Linked DNA regions of Nothobranchius furzeri. The protein of the gene in region 1 purifies or fractionates together with the protein of each later gene. This does not show direct contact. Links are inferred from orthologs where the notes say so. Each region holds a gene or a part of one and is shown on either strand. Other genes may lie near its edges. The genes, in order: tnfaip3, tnip2, tnfrsf1a, mtor and rnf11b.

Region 1 (3,620 bases):
AGAGGCTCGAGTTTCTGTACATGTAGCACCAAAACTAGCAGGGTCCCGCCCTGTCGGTCTCTGTTTGGTCACATGTTTTGCTTTGAATTCCCACATGTAGCTATTTCATTTAACTTAAAGAGAAATAATCAGCTTAAGAAAAACACACAAAAACCACTAAGAACCAAGGGAAGGGAAGAATTACAGTTTGAGAGTCTCAATATCTAGAGGACCAAAAAATATTGAAAAAAAAAAAAAGACTTTTTGAACAGCTGAGCTAAACAATATGGTTTCAAATCTAACTTCAAACATTTGACTTGCTTTGCTTTGGCTCAGTTCGCCTCACTTTTGCCGACTACTTCCACAGATTTTCTGCCCGGGCTTGCCACACTCACTGCATCCCTCGCTCGATCGAGCGAATGCTAGACAGACAGGCAGACTGATACACAGATGGGTTAGGACATACAGACGGACGGGGTAAAAATCCTTGGCTGTGGTCTATAAAGCAATGTCGTATGCTTCTTGTTACGCCAATATACAATCATTTTGTCCGGCACGATTCCTGACGTACCTCTAAATACGTACTGTACACAAGAGTTAGGTCAGTTGCTCTGACATGTCGCCAAACCTCTAACCGTGTAAGAGCACACGGCGGATCGGATGATAATAATTGCACAAAGAGGTATTCTGGAGGCCATGTCTAATGCAAACACACACACACACACACACTCACCAGCCCCCCCATGTACACACACACTCTCGCTTCACATTCGACATGGGGGAGGTTGATTTTTCAGGCCATAAGGTTACTAGTTAGTCACTAGCTAATTAGTTGGTTAGTTAGTATCAGAGGTGCATTGACTGGCATGGGGAGCCCGCTGCAGGGCGGCGGCTCTAGCGTGCTACCAATGAGTTGTCGTTAACGCTCCGCGTCGCGGGTGATCAGCCACGGTAAATCTGTTTGAAGTGGTGGCACTCGTTGCAGTAGCCCTGTTTCTCTTGGTTGGCATAGTGGTCACAGCCCTGTGTCCGACACCTCTGCTTTGACTTTTCTTTGGGCGCCTGCGCCCGTCTGCCGGCCTCTCGGCCCTGGCCACGCGTGTGGCACTCCGGGCAGAGGTCAGTGCAACCCGGGGACACGTTACTGCAGCCACTCCGTCGACACTGAGTCTGGGTCTGGGATTGCTGTGAAGATCTGGGTTTAGCTGCCCGGTCGCGCTTTTTATAGAGAAAGAGGGAGAGAAAATGGGGAAAAAAAGGACTAGTCAGCAACTGAGAATTAGATATGGGGTACTGTGAGAAAACTACTGAACAGGAAAAAAGACATCAGCTGTTTGAGCAAGAACCTACCAGCGGAGGGGAGTGTGGCGTCCTGTGTGCCACTTGGTTAAGACGTGTACTCTGCTCTTTGACGTAGCACTTATCACAGTAGCCCTCCAGCATTGCTTTGCCAACTGCACCGCATCCAGACCCTCGACAGCGTGTAGCGTTCTGGAAACCTGCCTCCAAACCAAGTCTGTTCTGGACCGGAGCAGGAGGAGGAGTCAAGTCTGGAATAAACAGCCACAAGCATAAGCAACAAGCCAGATAATTCATCAACATTTATAGTTTGATAAGGTATTTATTTTTAAATGTCTACATGTTCATTTTGTTTCAGGACTTACGATGATTGGTCTGATAGTCTACATAGCAAATAGTGCAGAAACCCAATTTCTCTGGTGTCCCAAAGAACTGGCAGCCAGATCTTTTACAAGGCCGGGCCAGAGGGGTCTGCCAGGCCGACGTGGGTCCCGGGGTCAGGGTGAGGCACGGCTGCTCAGCGTCTCTGGTTTGGCTCCAGGCAGAAGCCTCAGTCCTGGGGTTGCTCTGCTGTGGCTCACCCCTTTCTGGAGCCTGCTGCCTCTGCATGCAGGGTGGGCACAGACCATTGAATATCCTGAATGCTTCCTGTCTGCACATGCTGCACCGCTCCGTCTCTGTCTCGCGGCCTCCCCACTGGGTCCAGCCGGAGCCTTGGGGTGGGTGGGGAACGACTGGTGCTCCGTTGGTGCCTGGGAGTCCTGTAGCAGCTGTTCCAGCTCCAGGGGGTCCGTGGTTCTGTCTGGCGTTGAAGCAGCGCTCACAAAGTCCGTCGTGCTCCACACTTAGGGTGAAGAGGCAGCCGGGTGTTTTGCACTTCATGGCGTGAGTTTCACTATAAAGGCTGAGGCTGGGAGCGGTGGGCGGGGCAGAGCGGGGGCTGGATAACACCACCCCTCGTCCAGAGGAGGAGCATGGGGGACTGCTGTTTCGAGCTCCTCTGGAGCTCACCTCAGCCTCTGACCCCCCCATTGCCCCTACTCCTCCCTGTACACCTGCTCCCTTCGTCTGCACCACCCCTTCTATCCTCGCTCGTCCTCCGGTGGTGGCTTGTCGTTTCTCGAAGCACTCATGGCAATGAGGCTGAGTGTCCACAGAGACGTAGAAGGTGCATCGTGGCGTGGCACACCGGATCTCTATGAGGGACAGTTGGGAGACGGAGAAGGGTGGTGGGCGCTGCGGCTGGGCGGCCCACGCCTGCTCCTTGTCCTCCTGCCAGCGCTGATACTCGTGGTTGACGAGCTGCAGGTAGTCCTCCATCAGGTTCATGTCCTCTGGAAGGTTTCCCTCGTCCAGCCTTTGGACAGTCACAATGTTCTGTTAGCCCTTTGATCCTCAGACACATTACTGGCCAACAAGTAAGAAACTTTCTCAACAATCAAGTTTATAATCTCTGCATACCGAGCAGCTTTCATGATCCACGTAGTGTCATGGCCCAGGCCTATAACAGGGATCTCTATGATGTGCAGGTAGTCGTTGAGAAGCCTCTCTTTCTGCGGCTGCTCCTTCTCCATCAGGAAGTGAACCTTCAGCTCCTCGAAGCCCACTCGTTTCGGGTTGATTAGTGGAACTGCTCGAATCTCTGGACGATCAGTTCAAACCGAGATGTTAGACAAAAAATAAAATAAAATAAATAAAAGAATACAAACATACTAGATCTTTATCCCATGCTGGTTTCCCTTTCGGTGCCCTACCTGGACCGCTGTCTTTGATGGTGATAAGGGGTGCAAAGTGCTGAGAGTCGTAGCCGAGCACTAGTGGATATTTGTAGCAGTCTGTGGACTTCCACTGAAGAGGCAGGTAAATCCCACCCACATTCAGAGGAGAGATGGAGGAGCCAGATTTCATGCTCCTAACCACCTGGTCTGTTGAACAACAAAACAAAACACTAAAGTTTACAACTAAACAGCCCTTTACATCAACAAAGAGACTTCTACGCCTTCGTAGAGCAGAAATCATTACAAGTCTAGCAAGAGGAAATAAAAGAACTTTGAAAGTGATTACCTGCAATGACGATGATGGGTCTGCGGAGAATGTTGGACAGGATGAAGATGTGAATGTCCTCTAGGGAGTCAAACTGGAGGCCGTTGCTACTGGAGACTGGAGATGCCATCTTTACAATCTTATCCCATTCCTCCTCCCAGTTCTAGGACAGCACGCACACGCACACGCACACACACACACACACACACACACACACACACACACATACACACAGATTAAGAAAGATTAAAGAAAAACAACGTAAATGGAAGTGTGAGCCAATACTCTGTTTTAAAATG
Region 2 (5,017 bases), on another chromosome or scaffold:
AAACACAGTGTTTCTACCAATTCCACATAATGTAAACTATGATTACATCATGACTGAAGTAAGGATTTTACATTTTTGCTGAGGGTTAGGGGTTGGGTTACCCTAACCCTTGCTTTAGACCAGCAAGTAAATTTCAGTAGCAAAGATGACCCGCATAAATACAAAAAGCTATTTTTTAAAAATGTGTTTAAAGAGAACCAAAACCTATTCTAACCAACCTTGTTTATGTGAAAATGTAATGGACCTTTGGAGTTTTCCCATCATTAGCTCCTTTTGTAGGGTCACAGGTCAGATTTTCTCCTTTAGGATTTTCTAGTAGAGAGCAGAATTCATGGTTTCCACAATTACAGCAAGTCATCTAGGTCTTGAAGAAGCAAAGCAGTCCCAGACCATCATGCTACCTCTACCATGCTTGACTGTTGGTACTGTGATCTAACAGAAATCAGGCCTGGGTGCAGCTAGTGAATATGAACTCAGCTTTCCAAATAAAGTAGTTAATACATTTTTTTTCATGATCAGAACCAAGTTGGTTTGGATAGCTTTAATAAAAAAAAACTATTCATTTGAAGCTGCATTTTGTATTTACTCAAGTTTGTCTGATATTTAAAAATTTAGGTGTGAAAATAAAAGTGAAAGCAGAATAAATCTGAAATGGGGTAGATTTTTTTTGGCCACAGAAATTTACATTGCGTTTCCTGTAAAGATTAGATCAAACTCGCTATCATAAGAAATGCCTAACAAAAAAAGAGCATGTTTACTGATCTTTCATTATTCAAATAATGTCAGTGCATCAGAAACATGAGGTCATATGAAAGTAATCTCACTGATAACACGTTGCAAAGATTGGTCATGTGTTGGTAGTGCAGTTATGCTTGGATTCCATGTGATGATGAGGTTGGTTTATTAGTGGAACAGGTTTAGTGCTGTAAGAAAGCAGTAATGAACCATACGACCATTAAAAAAAAGACCATACAAAACTCATGTATCAATTTTCTGGTTTAGCCTAAATGGAATTACTCAGATAATAATAATAATAATAATAATAATAATAATAATAATAATAATAATAATAATAATAATAATAATAATGAGCTAAAAAGTATCAAATGCAGTGGGGGAAATTCACATGGACAAAATAATGGACTGTGAGGGGAATTCATATACTGAATCATCTGATGTGATTGGTAGGGACGGGATGTTTGGTAACTGGGAAACTGTACTTGTTAGCATCTATTTGTGTTGCCATATACTTTCAGGTGAAAGCCACCACCCAAATACTGGGTTCACAAAAAATGTAACTTAGATTAGCATTTTTTGTGACTCACGTGAATAATATTCGAAATGTGTAGAGTGGGGATTGTTCTATCAGGTGAACTCGTTTGGTTTGTGCTGAATGTTCTCGAATTTACGACGGCAGTGAATGCAGCAGTGATATCAATTTTCTGGTTGCCTAACTAGCCGACGCTAGCTAGCTGAAGACAGCAAGAAAGGGGAATCGTTTTGTGTTTTTGTACAAACAGCCAGTGAATTTGTGCCAACAGCCTGACAAGCCTCCACTTTTTTTTACCAACGGATCTCGGCAGTGAGTCTTTGAAAGCCAGGCTCCGTTTTGACGACGCTCAGAAAAGTCCGCGGGGAAGTTCCCTAGGAAATCCCCCAAGAGCGTCCGGGGATATTCTCGACACTGATGCGCCAGATCTCCTCCAGAATTCACCTTCTCGGTGTGTTTCTGAAAGACTCAGAGTAAGAGGCAGAGGCGTCAAATGCTGGATTATTAAAAGACTGAAACCGTTTTTCGCGAAATCTACAAATTTTAAGCATTGCGATTGCGATGGATAGCTCGAGTAGTTTGAAGGCGGAGAACGAGGCGCAGCCGAAGGACAAAATGCGGAGCTACAGCGTGTTAAACACTTTGTTTCACGAGACGAGGCAGGAAATCGAGCTTCTCAACAAACAGATCTGCGTAAAGGACAATATAATCGCAGATTTAAAGTCCAGGGTCGGGAGGCATGAGAGGATCTGCATGACGATGGGAGACGACGAGCGGGTGTTCCTCGGTCCCTCCAAGTCTTTGGTGGAGAGTTTACTGAAGGAGCTGTGCAAAATAAAACAGAAGAAAGATGATCTGGAGCTCAAGGCATCCTGTCAAGCAGAGGTAAAAAACCAGCAGCTCCAAAGGAAGCTTCAAATATGTAAAAAGCATGATTTATTTCTGTCATTTTCAGGAAAAAAGTTGGTTTCTCATACTTTCTTCTTTGTGTCCCCCAAACTAGGAGATCCAGAGGTTGAACCTGCAGCTCAGAGAGAAAGATCTGGAGCTGGAGAGCATCAGGTGTCAGCCGGACCACGACAAGGACCAGGAGATCCACAGGCTGAGGACAGCCCTGGAGGAGAAGCAGCGGGCCGAAGCCACCAGGACCGTGCTCTGCACGTCGCTGGCCGAAGAAGCTGACCAGCTGCGGGGTCAGCTCAGCGCCACAGTGAGGGTGTGCCAGGAGCTGCTGGGCAGGCTGGAGAAGAAGGGAGGAGACGGAGAAGAAGTGGAGGAAGTGTCCCAGCAGCAAAAAGTACAATTTCATCTTATTTTATAATATTTTTGCTCAATATATATATATATAAACAATATAAAAAATCAATGCCTTCTTTGCTCTTTTTGAGTTATTTATTAACCCCTTTTTGACTTTTTATTCCAGACGCCCAGCTCTTCTGACCTAAGTGCTGCCAAATCCCAAATTCATCAGCTTCAAGAGGAGAACCAACAGCTGAAGCAGCGCGTAGCTTATGTGCGTTTGTATTTTTGATTTCAACAGATTTCCCCCTATATTTCAGTGCAAAATTTTACTTCCAACCAAATCTGTTATCAGCTGCACACACAATTTCTAATGCTGAGCTTTGCTTCTTATTTATTTCCATTGTTTAGGTACAGAGTTTGAATTCTCAGTGGCAGAAGTATGACTCAAGCAGGGAGGACTACATCCGAGGGTTGTGTCAGAGGCTGAAGGAGAACACCGGGCAGGGCTCCGTCAGCTCAGTGTTGCTTCATCAGGAGATCGCCAGGCTCAACACTTTACTGGAGGAGAAAATAAGAGACTGTTCAAGGTTGGAGAGAGAGGTGGAGGAGATAAGGAGGCAAGGCCAAGAGCGAATCCAGACCTTGGAGCAGCAGGTTGGTATTAATGTAATATTAGCACATTTAAAGTGATCGTAATCGTTTTGTGAATTTTCAAAGTTGTTTTGTTTTCCCCGTAAGGTTTTGATTTATACAGACGACTTTAAATCAGAGCGAGCCGACAGAGCGCGTGCACAGGGTCAGATCGCAGACCTGAAGGAGCAGATTTCTCAGCTGAAGCAGCAGATCCACAAACAGGTGAGGTGTCAGATCGTCATTTAGATGCTTCTGTACAAGCATCCACTCATTTTTTTACTTATTACAGCCACGTGGCTTGACAAGGTGTTTGTAAATCTCTGCAGGGAGCAGGCAGAGACCTGGGTTCTGTGTGCCGTGTTCACATAGGACACAGGATCTCCTCGAGGCGAAGTAAGGACTCCTCAGAGCCTCTGCTAAGGGCTGCTGCTGAAAGGCCGCCGCCGCCTGCAGTGGACGCTGCTGCTGCAAACGTAACAAATTGGAACGAACTCCCAGGTCTGTCGGAACTACAGTGTCCGCACTGCTCCGCCAGGTTCAACGACACAGAAGCTGCAGAGTGCATGAACCATTTTGAAGAGTGCGCCCGGCTATAAACGAAAACCAGTTTTTGATTCTCTACTGAACACTGTAAAGCAGCACTACAATGCAGGAAGCAACCTGGGTGGAGGTTCAGATTAAATAACTGACATCTTGAGATGTGAACATAACCCCAAACTTTCCATTTTGCAAGAGAAAATGAGTTCATGGTTTTAGATCTGTACAAACACCCAGACAGAGTTGTCCCATGGCACTGCAGGAGATTACTGTGTTGGGGAGAGAAGATGCCAATGCAGTTTTTAAAATGTTATATACCTCAATGTCAAATTACAATCTTTTTGCACTTTTTTGTTATTTAGCCCAAAAAAAAACCATTGTGTTATCATAATGCGATTAAAATATTATTGATGCATAAGCTTCTTACTTTGGGTTTATACCTAATTGTTTATGTGGTGCTATTGTTAGTGTTTCTTTAAGTAAATATATTCTTTTAATGACAGATTTAAAAAGTCTAACTATATTAATATTTATTTGTATTTCTCATTGGAAAAGAGTGATTGTTTCAGTGCAATGTCTTGTTTTTATATCCAACTTAAGCCATAAATGTTGTGTAAACATGTATTTTTAAATACATGACAGGCAGAAATAAATATTTCAATCATTTTTAAAGCAGTATATGTAAATAATGCATCCAAACTGACATAAAATCATTTTTAAAGACTTAGTTTTTTTCCTGTAGATGTTATTTTTGTAATAAAACATGTTGTTTCCTATAAATATGATCTATTGAAATGTAGCTTTTGATTGTGTGGTGCATTTTTCATCTGAGAGATAAATCTGCAGCACGTAGCTTCAACCACAGATCGTGATCCGACCACAAAAACGTTGGTGCTACTTCATCTAAGTTTGTGTGCATGTGTTTTAAGCATGTCACGTGTGTGTGTGTGTGTGTGTTTGCTCGGTGGAAAGCCCCATCCCAGTGTTGCCTGATTAGGCACGCTGCACTGTGACAGCTAGATTCCCAGCTGTTGTGTTGCAAAGGTGCAGAGAGGAACAGCTAAAGTTAAACCCAAACCTCAATGACTGTTCTGTAGATAAGTGGGTGAATACAACACCGTCCAGTTTAGCTGCTGAAAGTATCGCTTTGAGGCATCTATAGTTCAGTTTGGTGAATCAGTTGTCATGGGTTTTGTGTTGTAAGCACAGGAAGCTGGACATCCCCTACTTGAAAAAGGAAGTATGCAGTTGCACTGCATGGCAGAGACTAACAACTATAATATTTTTGTGAGTGTATATGTGTAATTATGTATCTGCTGATTTCAGGTCAGATAA
Region 3 (4,575 bases), on another chromosome or scaffold:
AGGTAACCTTTACACGTGACGGGACCTGTAAAGAATGTGAATTCTGACTTTGCGTTTACTTCTGTGGGATCATTTTGTTTTCAGGGTTTAAGCTGGTTGCAGAGTGTCACAGTGAAGGTCACAGAAGTAATTGCACACCCTGTCCTGCTCGGCAGTTCTCCGACCAGATAAACAACGCTTTCCAGTGCAGAAAGTGCAAAACCTGCAGAGGTGTGACTTTAACTTCTCCAGACTTCATTTCTCAGCTTGCACAGCATCAGATTAGCTGTAAAAGCTTTAATTTTGTCAACTTTTCTGCAGCAGCACGAAATGAAGTTGAGGTTTCACCTTGTAGAGCAGCTCAAAACACCATCTGTGGCTGTAAGGTCGGCTATTACAAAAACCACATTGACAGTGAAACGGTTGAGTGCCTCAAGTGTTCGAGATGCAAACCAGATGAAACGGAGGAGCATGCATGTGAGTCTTTAAAGATTCTTCTGTAATAAATTAAACAACCACTCCGTGGTAAAGCCAGTTTTGTTTTCACAGGTACTCGAGAGAGAGACACCGTGTGTGGCTGTAAGGAAAACTTCTACAGAGTCAGAAACAAGTGTGAACCTTGCAGGAAGTGAGTGCATCGCTGTCCGACGAGTCCTTGGTTCTCGTTTTGTTTCCATCTTCGAGTTTGGGAAGGTTTTTTTGTAACATTTTAATTAAGGAAGTTGGTTTGTAGAAATGAAACTTGCAGCTCACTTCCGACTTTGTTCAAGCTTTCCATTTGTTAGCAATACAGGAGAGAAGTTATGACACACACGTCTTGAGACTCGCTAAAAAAAACCTTTCTTATTCGCGTCTACTAAAAGTCTGTTAGCGTATAATGACCTCTCTTATCTTCTCCTAAAATGCTGCGTTGAGTGTTTTTATTTTTGGTTCTTATAGTCGAAGATGTTTGACACAAATCAAACAAGGAAGCACAAAAACTTGCAGCTCAAACTTCCTATATTTCTGTCATGTTTACATCCTGGTTTGCATAAACATAAGAATCTTTCTGAGTTACTGGGACAGTGACTGGTTCAGCTCAACTTTCTGTGTAGTCGAACTTTGAAACCAGAGCTACAGAAAGCTGGAGTTAAAAAAAATACATGTCAGCCTTTGCGTTAATCACTTCCTCTGAAGACATGCTACTTCCTCCTTGGTGCAATGAAACATCCTGTTTATCCTCCACAGTTGTACCACAGGCTGCTCACAACACTGCATGTTGGAAGTGGCGACAGAAGGTGAGCGCCAACCAGGTGACATGACGCACTTGTTTCTTCTCTTGCCATATTTCCGTGTTCACCGTTTGAGTTTTCCATTATTCTTTCAAGACCAAGTTCACTCGGTTTTGAACCACATTTGCAGTGGTCTCTAGAATAAATGAATGCCTTGTGCGTCGAAATCTGTGGGGAAAAAAAAAAGCTCTAGCGCTCCTGTTTCAGAACTGGAAGTTAGCCAGAGCGGAGGTGAGCAGAACACGGCAGGATTTGGAGTCTTATTTCCTGATATTCAGACATCTCCCCTCTGATTGGATAACCGTAATGGGACTCTACCACTGACTCTGTTCTGCAACGCTGATGTTTTATCTCCACAAATAACACAAGCCTCAAGGAGTTCTGCTGGGTGGTGGAGTTGCTAATGCTAAAGGTTAGCTTCTGCTAGTTGAGACATTCTCTACTGTTTCCTGGATGTTAAAACCACAAAACCCTTTCCGTCACGAGTCAAGATGGGTGAGTCCATGAATGTCAAGTGACAGTGTGACATAGATCAGTCAGGATTTTCAAATTCTAGCAATTCACCATCAGAAGCTAATGCAGGAGATAGGTGTAGGAGCCTATCAGCGTGCACGGTAAACTCACAGTGACTGATTATATTTCATTTTTTACAAGTTGAAAACGGCTACACGGTGGTGCACTGGTTAGCATTGATGCCTTGCATCGGGTCAGAAAAAGCCACACAGATCTATCACCCAATAATTTTTATTTTTCAACTTTATTTTCATTTATTGACAATAAAAGAAAAATACAAAACTAAATTGCTAACAGCCAAAATGAAAAAGGGGACAGAAAGAAGAAAAACATATGTTACCTGCCACTTTAAACTAAAATAACATTAATACAAATGAAACTATCATATGATTCTTAAAAAATTTGAACAATATCGTTTCTGGACTGGTTGGCCGACACAACCTCAACCCATGAATTGAAAAAAAAAAAGAGAAAACAAGTTACACAGAAAGAAGCATAAAGTTATATACCTATATACATACATATATACACATATGCATACATACACTTGTTTCCTTTTCCCTCTATTTATTTTTTTTCTTTCATCCCCCCCCCCCAACCCCCCTCCCCTCACGCGTTTATGTAACAGGTCTATATAAGTTAATAATTTCATTTTTTTATCTCTTTTTTGAAAGTCAATATTGTTTTTGCATTCTTGATTTCAGTATTTAATTTATTCCACATTTAACTCCATATATGGGCACACAATGTTCCTTTATGAGTATCCTATGTCTAGGTATATTAAATAATTCATGTCCTTTTAAATGATATTTGCTATGTCTTTTTGTAAATCTGTTGATTAAACCTGCAGGTGTGTACCCTGTGTTTGCATTATACATACATTTTCAAATATTGTAGTCCACCAGATCACAGAATTTTAGTGTTTTTAATTTTATAAATAATGGATTGGACGGATCTCTGTAGTTGCATTAATCGGCTCACCCATCTTGGCTCGTGACGCGGAAGGCAGATTATTTTTTTTTTTGCAGCCATGAAAAAGCAGAGCACATCTCAACTAGTAGAAGCTAACTGATAGCATTAGCTTTTCCCCAGCATGGCAAAACTCCTTCAGGCTTGTTTATTTGTAAAACATCAGAGCAAATGGAGGCAGTGAAAGACTCTCTTTGCTGTTAGCCAATCAGAGGCGAGACGTCTGAATATTGTGAATATTAATGAGGAAGGCTCCAAATCCTGCCGTTTTCTGCCCCTCTCTACTTCCTGAAACAGTTGCGCCAGAGCTTTTGTTCCACAGAGAATGATTGACAAGGCGTTTATTTATACTAAGGTCCACTGCACACTTATTGCAATAATGGGTGAATGAGACATTCAAGAGAGCAAAACACTTAACACTAACCTATGAATCACTGAGACAGTCTCCTGAACCTGATGATGATTCATCGTTGTGTCAACACAAATCAGCTCGGCACAGATCCTGTTTTAAATTGTACGTTTAAGCTCTTTGTTACTTTAGTCTTGTGAAAATGAGGGAACATGTTTCCAATTCTTTAGCTGAGTGCATGGCAAAAACCTGAGGCGACACATAAAATAATATCTTAGCATTGTCAAGCTAGTTTTCTAAGAGATATTGGCTGAAAACCTGAAAATCTGCTTGAGGATTATGAATTTTCAGGTCCTGTTTTTGGAACTTTGCTGGATTTTTTTATTCTTTTTCCCTCCGATAGATTTATTCTTTAGACCTGACACTTCTTCTTTTGCCCTCCGCTCGTGCAATTCCCTTATGTTATAAGCATAGACCACAAAATAAACCGTCACGGTCAGGAACAAAACACGATTCAACGTTTAGAAAGCCTGAAGACTGGCCAAGAACATTTTAAAGGATCACATTCAGGTTTGGTTATTGGTGCTTTAAAACTTTTGCAGTGTGTTTGTAATGTTCTGTTTTATAATATGCATTTATTTTGTTTTTCCATCCAGGCCCTGAGCCCAAAAATCACCTGCTAATAAATCTAGTTGCTGGATCAGTAGTTGTGGTGCTAGTCTTGCTGGCGTTGGTGGTTCTGGTCACCTTCTTGGCTACAAAACGGTTCACCAAGAAGAAGATGCCGACTCTGTCCTCCCAGACTTCTGAAGTTTCCGTGGAATCCGGAAAGGTATCTTCACCCAACAGTCTGAGGTTCTCTTGATCGGTCTGATGAACGCTTGCGGTCAGTCATGTGTTTTCTACTCTCGTCTCCAAGCATCTCCTGATCTACGCTGAGGGACCTCCGCAGAGCATCTGTTTGAAAGCAGCCGCTCAAAACCCAGTGGGTGAGCTGGAGCTGTCCAAGCTGCCTGACTGCGTCCCCCTAGAGATTAAGAGTGAGTTGATAGCAGTCTGCTCTGACTTCGACATGCAGAAACCCACAATGTGAACTCTGACCGTGCTCTCCTCTTCTGCAGTCCCAGAGCTGATCTACGCAGTGCTAGATCTGGTTCCCGTTCTGCAGGTGAAGCAGCTGGTGCGATGTCTCGGTGTGAAGGACACGGAGATCGAACGAGCCGAGATGGACCACAGGTCTTGTCGGGAGGCTCACTACCAGATGCTACGAGTTTGGGCCCAGAAGGGCTCCCAGGAACTCGGAGGGGGGAGGGGTGAAATGTTACACCGGCCGCTGTTGGAAGAGCTCTTGGACAAACTGAGACAGATGCACCTGGGTCGGGCCGCCGAGGAGCTGGAGACAAAGTATTCCATTCAGTGATGCGGCACTTGCCAAGTCTGGACAAAACGCTCATGAGACCAAGTATTGTTTGCTAAAAGAGACTCGCTGGAGGA
Region 4 (4,575 bases), on another chromosome or scaffold:
AAAAGTGCAAGATTTGCTGCTGAAGCACTACGGAAGAAAAACAAAACAAGTAGCCTTTGCGCTGCTTTTAAATGACCATTTTTAAAACGCCCAGTGCCCAAAAATTTGGCTGAATTCCCTCCACACCGCTGTGATTTATGCTCCTTTATGGTCAGAGAGCACCGTAAAAAACTGACTCTTCTGGTCATTGAACGCAACATTTTACATCAAACAGCTGCTGTCCTCGGACCCTGAAGTGATTTGATTGCAGCAAAATAAAACTTTTATTGTCATTAATGTCCGTGGACTCCTTTAAGCACTGATGAGTGACATCACTCACGGCCAAAACGTGGTGATATGCTGATGTTTTAGCAAAGTCCTGAAAGGGACGATTCAGTAAGGAGACACAACGGCTGAGAGGACAGAGCCATCGTATTTTTCATCATCTTCTTCCCTCCAAGAAACTTCCCGGGCCTCCTTGAGTGGAAACACGGAAAAGCAGCACCTGGAACCCTTTGCTGCTGATTATGGAGCAACTGGCCTTGTCTTTAAGCTAGGGCTGAGTGATATGGACTACAACTTATATCTCCATGTATTTTAGCTGAATTTGCCAGTGTTGAGCTTTTAGAAAAGGGAAGTTAAGATTCTGAAGTGCACGTCCCTCAGCCCTGGTCCTGAGGTCCCCAAACCAGATCCTGGAAAAGCAACAGAAAGCAGCTCCAGTTTTTATTCAGATACTCGTTTATTGACTGGACGTCTTTTCTCCTGCAGGTGTGGTTCGACAGGAGGACTAACTACACCCGCTCCCTGGCTGTGATGTCTATGGTGGGCTACATTCTGGGCCTGGGTGACAGGTGGGGTCCTCGCCCCTAAAATTCAGACTTCCTTTATCTTTAAAATCGATTTTCTAGCATAATTGAGGATTTTTTTGTTTTGTTCCCAGGCATCCATCCAACTTGATGTTGGACCGTTTAAGCGGCAAAATTCTTCACATTGACTTTGGAGACTGTTTTGAAGTGAGAAGATTTCCTTTTGCTGCTTCATTACAAAATGATGTAAATAATGTAACTTATTATAAATCAACATTAAACAGGTGGCCATGACCAGGGAGAAGTTCCCTGAAAAGATCCCATTCAGACTTACCAGGATGCTGACCAACGCGATGGAGGTACAAGACTCGTGTTAATGATGCTGTTCTTTTATATATAAAGTGGGTGTTTCAGCTTTGGAGAGAACTTGAGTCATCTCTCAAGACAACAGGAGCTTTTTAGGCTTCAAACAACGACTCTGGTGAGTTTGAAGCGGCTGATTTTGTGTCTGTTGTGTCTCAGGTGACAGGTTTGGACGGGAACTACAGGATCACCTGCCACACAGTGATGGAGGTGCTGAGGGAGCACAGGGACAGCGTCATGGCTGTTCTGGAGGCTTTTGTTTACGACCCCCTGCTCAACTGGAGGCTCATGGACAGTAAGCACCTGGTTGAGCTTCATTTTACACTCAGACATAATTTAGATTCTTTTCTTTGGGTCGATCTGAAGTTACAGACTTAAAGAGGAAAAGTCTCAAAGCCGCTGATGCAGCGGTGCATCGTAGACCTTGTGTGACCAGCTACAGAAAAATGCAAAAGAGCAGCTGTTTGAATCGATACAGAATTATAAAAACATCTATGATGTCATCTCCCTTGGGTGCAGGAACAAAAAAATATAAAAAGTATATTTGAGAGAATCTTGAACATGGATCATGGAAAAGTTCAAGTGGATCAGAGGTGCATGCGGCATCGCTTAGTCTGAAATTGAATGGCCCTCTAGAAGATACATGATCTGAAAGCACACGCGTGGGCTGTGATGGAGACAACATTTGAAACTCTTTGACTCATTTTTTTCACTTAAAGCCCCAGTGTGGAATATTTTTACTTGTTTACTATCAAATTCTGTTTATCCGTTCACAAATTTTTCATCAACATTTTTCACCAACGTCTATTCTAAGTACTCCTATTGGCTTCAAATGTAACCGTGTTATTTACATAAACTGTGGTTGATGCTCCATTGTCATGCACCATCTGGTATCTGTTTGGGGACATGCAACATATCGGGATGGCACCGGTTATCTCTACGGGTTCTCTGCCCCGCGCTGACTGCATTTGACACACCTGCCTCTCAGCTTTATATTACTCAACACTTACTTAATTCAAATTTAAATAAAATGCAAAAGTTAATCGCAGAATTGAAAGCTGGAAGCCGTCGATGACATATAGCCTTTTTGATGCGTGTGGGCTAGCATAACTGCAATAACTATTTTAAGCTTCTCGGTGCTAAAGAGTCAAGTATTTTCAGACACTAGGGCTTTAAAGCGAGCATAGATGCCCGTTGGGCATGAGGTGAGAAGGTCCTTCATCCAGAAAGAGCTGCTCCTAACCCTAACCTTGGATAAGTGACAGAAACGGCAGGAAAATGCCACCTGAAGGACAATTTTTTTATATATTTATTTTTTGCTTTAAGGTAAGTTTTTTGAAAAGACTTAACATTCAGTTTACTTTTAAAGAGCTACTTCCAGTTGGATGTTTCAAGATTTTCAAAATTAGGCAATAATAATCAAAAGAAAACCAACTTTTTTCTCTTTCCTTCACTCACAGCAAACACTAAAGGCAACAAGCGATCCCGTACCAGAACAGACTCGTACACCGCCGGGCAGTCAGTGGGTCAGTACACCACCAACTGCATTCATAACCACTTCCTGATTTTAGCACAAAAACAAGTTGAAACATTTGAACGTGTCGTGTCGACTGCAGAGGCTCTGGATGGGATTGACCTCGGAGAGACCACGCACAAGAAAGCAGGGACCACCGTGCCTGAATCCATCCACTCCTTCAGTCAGTTTCCTTTTGCTTCTGAAGCTCTTGAGTCTGATCTGATCTGCAGCTCCTTTGGTGTTTACTCTGGCATGTTCCTGTTTTAAAGTTGGAGATGGTCTGGTGCAGCCTGAAGCGCTCAACAAAAAAGCTATTCAGATCATCAACAGAGTTCGGGACAAACTTACAGGTGAGTGATGAAAGACGCCACTTGATAAACTGAAGTAACAGAATTCAGTTTTCCTTCCAAATGTACAATACTCATAAGGAAACCAGGAAATGTCCTAGTGTTTTAGGGTCAAGATGATGGCAAATTAAATAAATATGCATAAAATGTCTCCTAAGCGCTCGTGATTTTTATCCTGAGAGGCGCTATAGAAATGATATTTTCTTCTTCTTCTTCTTATTTTACTCAAAATGTCTCAAATGTCTGAACTGAAAATCTGTAAATTTGCCTTTGAAGAAATTTATGAGTTTCTAATTAATTTGAAATAAAAAAGTGAGAAACTTTGAATTTGATGGTGTTGATTAAAGGTCTGGTCTACTGAGAAACTGTTATTTTTTTTAAATAAGATCGGTGACTCTGGGTTGCACATGCATGGTGAAAACTTCCTTCATCCCCCATCGCCTGTGTTAGCCGCAGAAAGGAATTAGGTGGGAAATCGGCTGGTTTGGTTGGTTAGTATTCATGGCCCCGCCCACCTTGGATTGTGACTAGCCGTGGAAACGAGAGCAGAGCACATCTCAGCTTGTAGAATGGTAAATGGCGTGTATTTGATATAGCGCCTTCTAGAGTCCTGGAACCCCCCAAGGCGCTTTACAACACAATCAGTCATTCACCCATTCACACACACATTCACACACACATTCATACACTGGTGGGGATGAGCTACAATGTAGCCACAGCTGCCCTGGGGCGCACTGACAGAGGCGAGGCTGCCGAGCACTGGCGCCACCGGCCCCTCCGACCACCACCAGCAGGCAAGGTGGGTTAAGTGTCTTGCCCAAGGACACGACGACAGCAACAGACTGAGTGGGGCTTGAACCTGCAACCTTCCGATTATGAGGCGAGCGCTTAACTCCTGTGCCACCGTCGCCCAAGAAGCTAACTCTTACCATTAGCAACTCCACAACATAGTGGAACACGTTCAGGATTGTGTTGTGTGTGGAGACAAAACATCAATGATGCATTTTTTTACATAAAAAAGGACTTCGAACGGAGGCAGTGGAAGAGTCTTGTTGCTTAGCCAATCAGAGGTGAGACATTTGCGTATCATGAACATTAATGAGCACGGTGCATACTCCTGTCGATCTCCACCCCGCTCTTTTTGCTAACATCAACTTCCTGAAACAAGCGCCACAGAAAACTACTCAGTCATTCATACTAGAGATCAGAGCAGGTTTATGGAAAATACGAGTGAATGGAACCTTTAAAAAACTATTTAAAGCTCCAAGTCTTCTAAAGCTTCCTGAAAATGTTTCCAGGTCGAGACTTTTCTCACGAAGAGACGCTGGATGTGCCAACACAAGTGGAGCTCCTCATCAAACAAGCCACCTCACACGAAAACCTGTGTCAGTGCTACATCGGCTGGTCGGTACTCATCCCCGCGTTTTAGTTAGAGCTCAGACCCATCACGTCCGACTCCAACACCATCCTATTTTCTAATACTTACTTCTACCTTCTAGGTGCCCGTTCTGGTGAAGAAGCGCCGTTTCAGCTGAAGCTACACCCTCAAACACAAATATCC
Region 5 (5,365 bases), on another chromosome or scaffold:
AACATACATTTGTAAAAATCACATTTACTTTTTCAGTGAAAGACCTGATTACTGCTTTAATGGATTCAACAGCTAAATCCTCTCTGATTTTCAGACACAACTATAAAAACTACTCCATGGAATCACGGACGCACTTCCGTATTCAGGCTGCTTTGCACAAGGCCAAGGGAACCGGGGAGAATGGCATCCTCGTGCCCTCTAGCCCATAACAGAAGTCACACCAGTAAAGTGACAGCTTCCTGTCTCTGCTTACCCACAATGCAACATGCCAGACCAGCTCTACTCTTTAGAACTAAGAACTTTTTTAAATTCTAGATGAAGATGGAGTGTTTTTTCCTCAGTTGTGCCCTTGTTATGGACCTCTGCAGCTTTGTGTGCCTTTGCTGGCCTTGTTCACTTTGCCACGCCCTCTTCCAGAGACACATTACAGTTAGTCACTTTCTCACACATATTTTTTTTAACAAATTGAGTGGAGAAATGTGTGTTCATGTGTTTATGAAACACTGCTTCCAGCATGCCTTTTGTCTCTTTCACACTGGTTGCATTTGAGCAGAAACAAGGTTAAATTTTTGTGACATATTCAGTGCTTTGTCCCAAGTGATATGCTCAGTGCTGGGTACTAGACCTGAACCTGGTGGAGTTAAATAAAGCCTCAGATACATGACACACGAACAGCAGCACTATTTAAGTACCGGGTATAAACCTGTTCCACTGTAATGTTAATGTAGGTTTTGGAAATGTCTCACTTTCCAAAACCAGCTTGTTCTGTTTTAATTCAGAATGTGGGATCATGTGTTTACACTACATGATTGTTGTGTTTGTCAGAATCGAGGGAGCATCTTACTGAATATAACCCTGTATTCACAGCTTATGTTTTGGTTTTTGCACCGAGCTTTGTGTATCGCCCATGAAACTGTCAACTCTTGGATGTCAAACGGCCTGGGAGAGTTGGTCTTTACATTTATTTACTGTAAATGGCATCTTTTACATGAATTGTCCTGTTTTGAGAGGACAGATGAATGTGTCTTTTAGAAAAGGCAGACTCCCTCCTTTTCTCCTCCTGGTGTGTGGGACGGGCTCCAGCAATACTTGAGCTTGAACAAACAGGCCATTCACAGCAAGCGGCGTAGGACTGCGAGCTTGACTGCCGGCTGTATCTTTAGTGGGTGAAGAAACTCTTAACCCCCAGCAGCCATCAAGTTTTCACAGCTTGTGTAGACTTCAGTCGACTTCTTTTGCTGTTTCTCTACCTGCTATCCTGTTGCTAGAGCTACCAACAGAAGGACTTGAATGTAAAACCACATCCTGTGTCAAATAGTTATCTGCAGATGAACAAATACAGCTTTCCTCATAAACGATTGGCGAGTGGGTGATTGAAAAGGCTGAGCACCTGAAACCTGACAGTTCAGAGAACTCACATGGTGCCTCAAGAGTTGGGATACAAGTCCTGCTGATTTATTTATAACTGAGAGAGGTCTGGGGTACAGTTTAATTGTCTGAAGTCAGTGTCTAATATTTATTGGTGGAGGAAATGTATTATTAGAATTGTTGCAACTGCAGCGACTCTAGAATGTGTTGATTCTGCAAACTAATCATAATTTTCCCCATCCTTTTAGCTTTTACACTTGTATAAATGGAAGAAATTCAGCATTCAAAATTTTGTGTTTACACGTTCTGTATTGTGTATTGGGCATGGTTACCCACCAAGCAGGATGACTTCCATTTACATTTTAGTTGTGATTTATAATGAAATATATACTTTTGTGTTGTATTCTTTCCTTTCCACGTCATTTAAGTTCAATAATTTTTCAGCACACAGAACAAAAATGACACAGGTTGTTTGCATTAATTTGGTTTTGGATTCTAATTTAACAAATGAAAAAATGGCTTTGCAGACCAGAGGCCGCCATGGAACACATCTCATTAAACCGAGAGCTTCAATAACACAACTGATGAATGGTTTTATCATATAAAACTCAGAGGACAATTCCGATCTGCAAAGAAATCGTTCTTTTGGTAGGAACATGACTCATTTGCAGATTAACGTTGTGTGTTTACGTTTTCAATGTAAGGCAACGTGACCAACCATCTGATTGGCTGTCAACAAGAACTTCGTGAACGAAACTGAAAGCTGATTGGTCAGTTGTTTAAAGGAGCCGTCCCCCACGTTGTACGTCACCCAGCTTTTGTCATTGTTCAGCAGCTGCTTTGGAAAGTCCCTGGCAGCTAGATCGGACTCAGGCTGGAGAACCGTGGAAAGCTGTGTCACGTTAAATGAAGAAAGCAGTTATTTTGCTCGCTTTCTTCCTTCTGCTGATATAAAATTATGTTAAAGCCGCGATTCTGCGCCCAGACGTTTAGATGTTCCCCTCAGAGTGCTAGCTAGTGTTAGCAGGCTAGCTTTTTGTGTGGCTAGCTGCTGGTCTTAGTGATGTTTTGTTTTTGTTGAAGTAGCCAGCCCTCCCGTCGTCTGGGAGAGGAGCTTCATCAGCTGTGAATGGAAAAACGTCCTCTCGACGTCTTCTTATTTACTGACATTTTCTGTGGAAGTGAGCAGTGAAATCCGCTGCTGGTAGAGCGACGCGGTTAGAAGGTAGAGTTTGATAGAAGAGGAGGGAGATGGGAAACTGTTTAAAATCTCCGACCTCGGATGATATTTCTCTGCTACACGAATCGCAGTCGGACCGAGCCAGCTATGGAGACGGTGCTGACCCAGATCAGGAGCCACCGCCCCCCTATCAGGTATCTATTGACATCATAACTAAACTAGCTGTTGTGGTTTGATTCATTAAAACTAAACTTCACACACTGTGTGTTGTTTAGACATTTTGGTCCTCTTTACAATTTGTTTGCATTGTCTGCCTGATGACAAAGTCAGAAAATAAATGTTGGACGAACATTTTGAGAACCGGAATCAGCTGTATACAGATTATCTGACATCGTCCGTAGACAGTAACCCTACCCACTGACTCAGTCCTTTCATGATACTGTAAATAATCCTCTTTCTTACATCTTAAGGTCATTCTCTGTGCATAATATCTTCACTGTAATTTCTGCAGCACTGGTGTCTTAAATATCACCTGGAGAGTGAATTCATTCAAACTCACTAAACCCTGTGGTTTGGGTTGATGATGTGAAGGAAAAAGAAGCAAACATCTGTTATGAGCTGAAAATGACAACACAAGCTTTAATTCTCAGTCTTGAAACAGGCTGTAGCGTGTGTGTATTTTAAGAAAAGGCTGACTTCTCTCCTGCTTCTCTGACTGAACACCTTCAGGCAGCAACTTTGTTCTTGTCTGTTGTCCTTACTCCCTAAATTAGATCATCCAAACATAGACCAGGTCATGTCGTAACTGTAAATATTAGATTTGCTGTAAAGTATTGTGTGTGTGTGTTATTTTAGGACACTGGTTTAGAATGCTTGTTTCTAGGTCAAGTGAGGTCTTATCTGTAGGCTTTAAGATTGGAATTGTTAAAGCTCAAGAGAATAAATGCAGTGTCAGAACAACAAATGCTTTCATGGAGAAAAGTGACACAATCCTGTTGTTTTCATTCAAAATAAACAAATTCTATTAATTTAAGGGATTGGTTTGCAGTAGTTATTAAAAGAAAAGGACAAACTTTTATGTTACATTAAACTATAGAGAATAATAATAAATGGATCACAAAAATGTAATGATATCCAAATAAGTGAGCCATCTTGTGTGTGTGCGCATCCTGATACACTGATTAAATAATATGCAAACTGCATCTTCTCACTGTGTACACTATCACTGATACATTTGACCTTTATGAACAATAAATGCTGATTTGATTTGTCATCATTGCAAGTCATCCTTAGACTAGTATTAAACTACTCTAGGGGGGTCCATGGGCATGCCCCCGGTAGAAAACATTGGACATTTTATAGTGAAAAGCATCAGTTTGGTGCATTTTGAGTAACAGGCTGGTGAGAATGTATGATAAAGTATCTATACATGTTCACAGCATTATTATGTTATGTTTGAATGAGCCTATGTTGTAAGTAAATACATATCTTGGTAAGTTTACTCAAAGTTCCCAGATGTGTTCTTCCTCCGTCTATTGTATCAAGGATACATTAATGCATCTTTCTGCGGACTTGAGACAGCAAAATATGCTATACTGCACTGCCGTTTCTTGTTTTGCATACTCGTCTGAACTTGTGTACTCCCATCCTTGTGAAACGTCATCAGTGATGGCCCAAGTACAATTCCAATCCTAAGAACTCCTGTATGCAAGTACACAAGAGTTCCCGGATGTGTTCTTGCTCTGCCCATTGTATCGAGGATGCATCAAAGCTTCCTTCTGCGGACTTGGGACAACAAAGTATTGCTTAATGCATTGCGTTGCAAACCATTACACACAAACAACAGAGGAGAAAGCTTATAACTGTAGTGTATCAGAAATACAAATAAAGAAAAAAATATAGAGTTGTCTGTTATTGTAAATAATTGTGTGTAACCTGTAAAACTCGCAGTGTGAATTTTTTTATTTTCCAGACTCTTCATAATGTCTTAAAATGCAAATTAGGTGACCAACTATTAAAATAAAAGTAGCGTTGCCCAAAATAGCTCTGTTTAGATGAAAAAGAAACTTTTTTTCTTCATTTAACAATTGGGAAAGTAGGTATTTTATGTTTTTGATCAAAAGTGGACCAAGTGTTATACAAATATAATGTATTTATTGTTATTTTGTGTTTTAGAGAGAAACTAGACTTCCATTTTTATGTCCGGTTGTTTTTGTCATGACACAACGGAGTACGGTTCTGTTCCAAATGCCATCCTCATCCTCCCGTACTCAGTAGAACAGATTTTCAGGTGTGCTTGCCAAGAATATACTTGTCAAGTACACAAGAACATACCAGCATACTTGAATATTGAGAAACTGCCATTGTTTACTGCCAGAATTTCACAGAGTGATTGACATTGATCATTCTCTTATCATCTTTTATCTTTCTCACGGTCTTGCTCTGGGGCATTTTTATTTTGCTATTTTGAATAGAAATGTAGCATGCCATAGCGCTGGAATGACCACTTCACGTTTATTTGGGAGATTTTTTTTTTACCAGCAAATTTTCTGAACTTCATATAATAAGCTTTTATCACTTTTTGACTCTCAGAACAATGCATCAGAGGTTCTTAATGTCACATTTTATCGTCTTACAAAGGTGAAGATAATTAGCTCATTCAGCTGTGGTGTCTGAGAGGAGATGGTGTAACCGTTTACGAAAGCGTTTTGAATAGAGCTTTCTGTTGTGTTGAGAAACTCTACTGTGTTCAAGTCTTGTGCTGACAATGTTTCATAAGAAGGTTAGCTAACTAGTTAAAATCTACTTATAAAAGAC

The links.
Region 2: the proteins of tnfaip3 (region 1) and tnip2 purify together in Homo sapiens (affinity purification with western blotting; 5 studies listed by BioGRID and IntAct, with this or other methods). This does not show direct contact. The link is inferred for Nothobranchius furzeri from reciprocal best matches to the Homo sapiens genes TNFAIP3 and TNIP2.
Region 3: the proteins of tnfaip3 (region 1) and tnfrsf1a purify together in Homo sapiens (affinity purification with western blotting; 7 studies listed by BioGRID, with this or other methods). This does not show direct contact. The link is inferred for Nothobranchius furzeri from reciprocal best matches to the Homo sapiens genes TNFAIP3 and TNFRSF1A.
Region 4: the proteins of tnfaip3 (region 1) and mtor purify together in Homo sapiens (affinity purification with western blotting, with the first as the bait; 3 studies listed by BioGRID). This does not show direct contact. The link is inferred for Nothobranchius furzeri from reciprocal best matches to the Homo sapiens genes TNFAIP3 and MTOR.
Region 5: the proteins of tnfaip3 (region 1) and rnf11b purify together in Homo sapiens (affinity purification with western blotting; 3 studies listed by BioGRID and IntAct, with this or other methods). This does not show direct contact. The link is inferred for Nothobranchius furzeri from reciprocal best matches to the Homo sapiens genes TNFAIP3 and RNF11.

The regions. Positions count from the first base shown.
Region 1 is NC_091752.1:25,124,886-25,128,505, forward strand, and holds the end of tnfaip3 (tumor necrosis factor alpha-induced protein 3), read right to left. Parts: intron 3,485-3,620; coding exon 3,343-3,484; intron 3,204-3,342; coding exon 3,033-3,203; intron 2,921-3,032; coding exon 2,740-2,920; intron 2,636-2,739; coding exon 1,644-2,635; intron 1,530-1,643; coding exon 1,330-1,529; intron 1,198-1,329; coding exon 922-1,197; 3' UTR 783-921; downstream 1-782. UniProt on the Homo sapiens protein: Ubiquitin-editing enzyme that contains both ubiquitin ligase and deubiquitinase activities.
Region 2 is NC_091744.1:17,107,526-17,112,542, reverse strand, and holds tnip2 (TNFAIP3-interacting protein 2), read left to right. Parts: upstream 1-1,628; 5' UTR 1,629-1,831; coding exon 1,832-2,155; intron 2,156-2,273; coding exon 2,274-2,567; intron 2,568-2,693; coding exon 2,694-2,783; intron 2,784-2,920; coding exon 2,921-3,166; intron 3,167-3,250; coding exon 3,251-3,367; intron 3,368-3,471; coding exon 3,472-3,741; 3' UTR 3,742-4,481; downstream 4,482-5,017. UniProt on the Homo sapiens protein: Inhibits NF-kappa-B activation by blocking the interaction of RIPK1 with its downstream effector NEMO/IKBKG.
Region 3 is NC_091745.1:73,838,152-73,842,726, forward strand, and holds part of tnfrsf1a (tumor necrosis factor receptor superfamily member 1A), read left to right. Parts: coding exon 1-2; intron 3-84; coding exon 85-210; intron 211-300; coding exon 301-456; intron 457-528; coding exon 529-607; intron 608-1,206; coding exon 1,207-1,271; intron 1,272-3,737; coding exon 3,738-3,913; intron 3,914-4,000; coding exon 4,001-4,121; intron 4,122-4,202; coding exon 4,203-4,501; 3' UTR 4,502-4,575.
Region 4 is NC_091755.1:52,420,733-52,425,307, reverse strand, and holds part of mtor (serine/threonine-protein kinase mTOR), read left to right. Parts: intron 1-750; coding exon 751-833; intron 834-922; coding exon 923-995; intron 996-1,072; coding exon 1,073-1,147; intron 1,148-1,310; coding exon 1,311-1,446; intron 1,447-2,611; coding exon 2,612-2,677; intron 2,678-2,767; coding exon 2,768-2,848; intron 2,849-2,936; coding exon 2,937-3,017; intron 3,018-4,312; coding exon 4,313-4,418; intron 4,419-4,513; coding exon 4,514-4,529; 3' UTR 4,530-4,575. UniProt on the Homo sapiens protein: Serine/threonine protein kinase which is a central regulator of cellular metabolism, growth and survival in response to hormones, growth factors, nutrients, energy and stress signals.
Region 5 is NC_091748.1:56,841,815-56,847,179, reverse strand, and holds the start of rnf11b (RING finger protein 11b), read left to right. Parts: upstream 1-1,988; 5' UTR 1,989-2,619; coding exon 2,620-2,742; intron 2,743-5,365. Other genes in the region: ttc39a (tetratricopeptide repeat protein 39A), read left to right, coding at 95-209. UniProt on the Homo sapiens protein: Essential component of a ubiquitin-editing protein complex, comprising also TNFAIP3, ITCH and TAX1BP1, that ensures the transient nature of inflammatory signaling pathways. Promotes the association of TNFAIP3 to RIPK1 after TNF stimulation.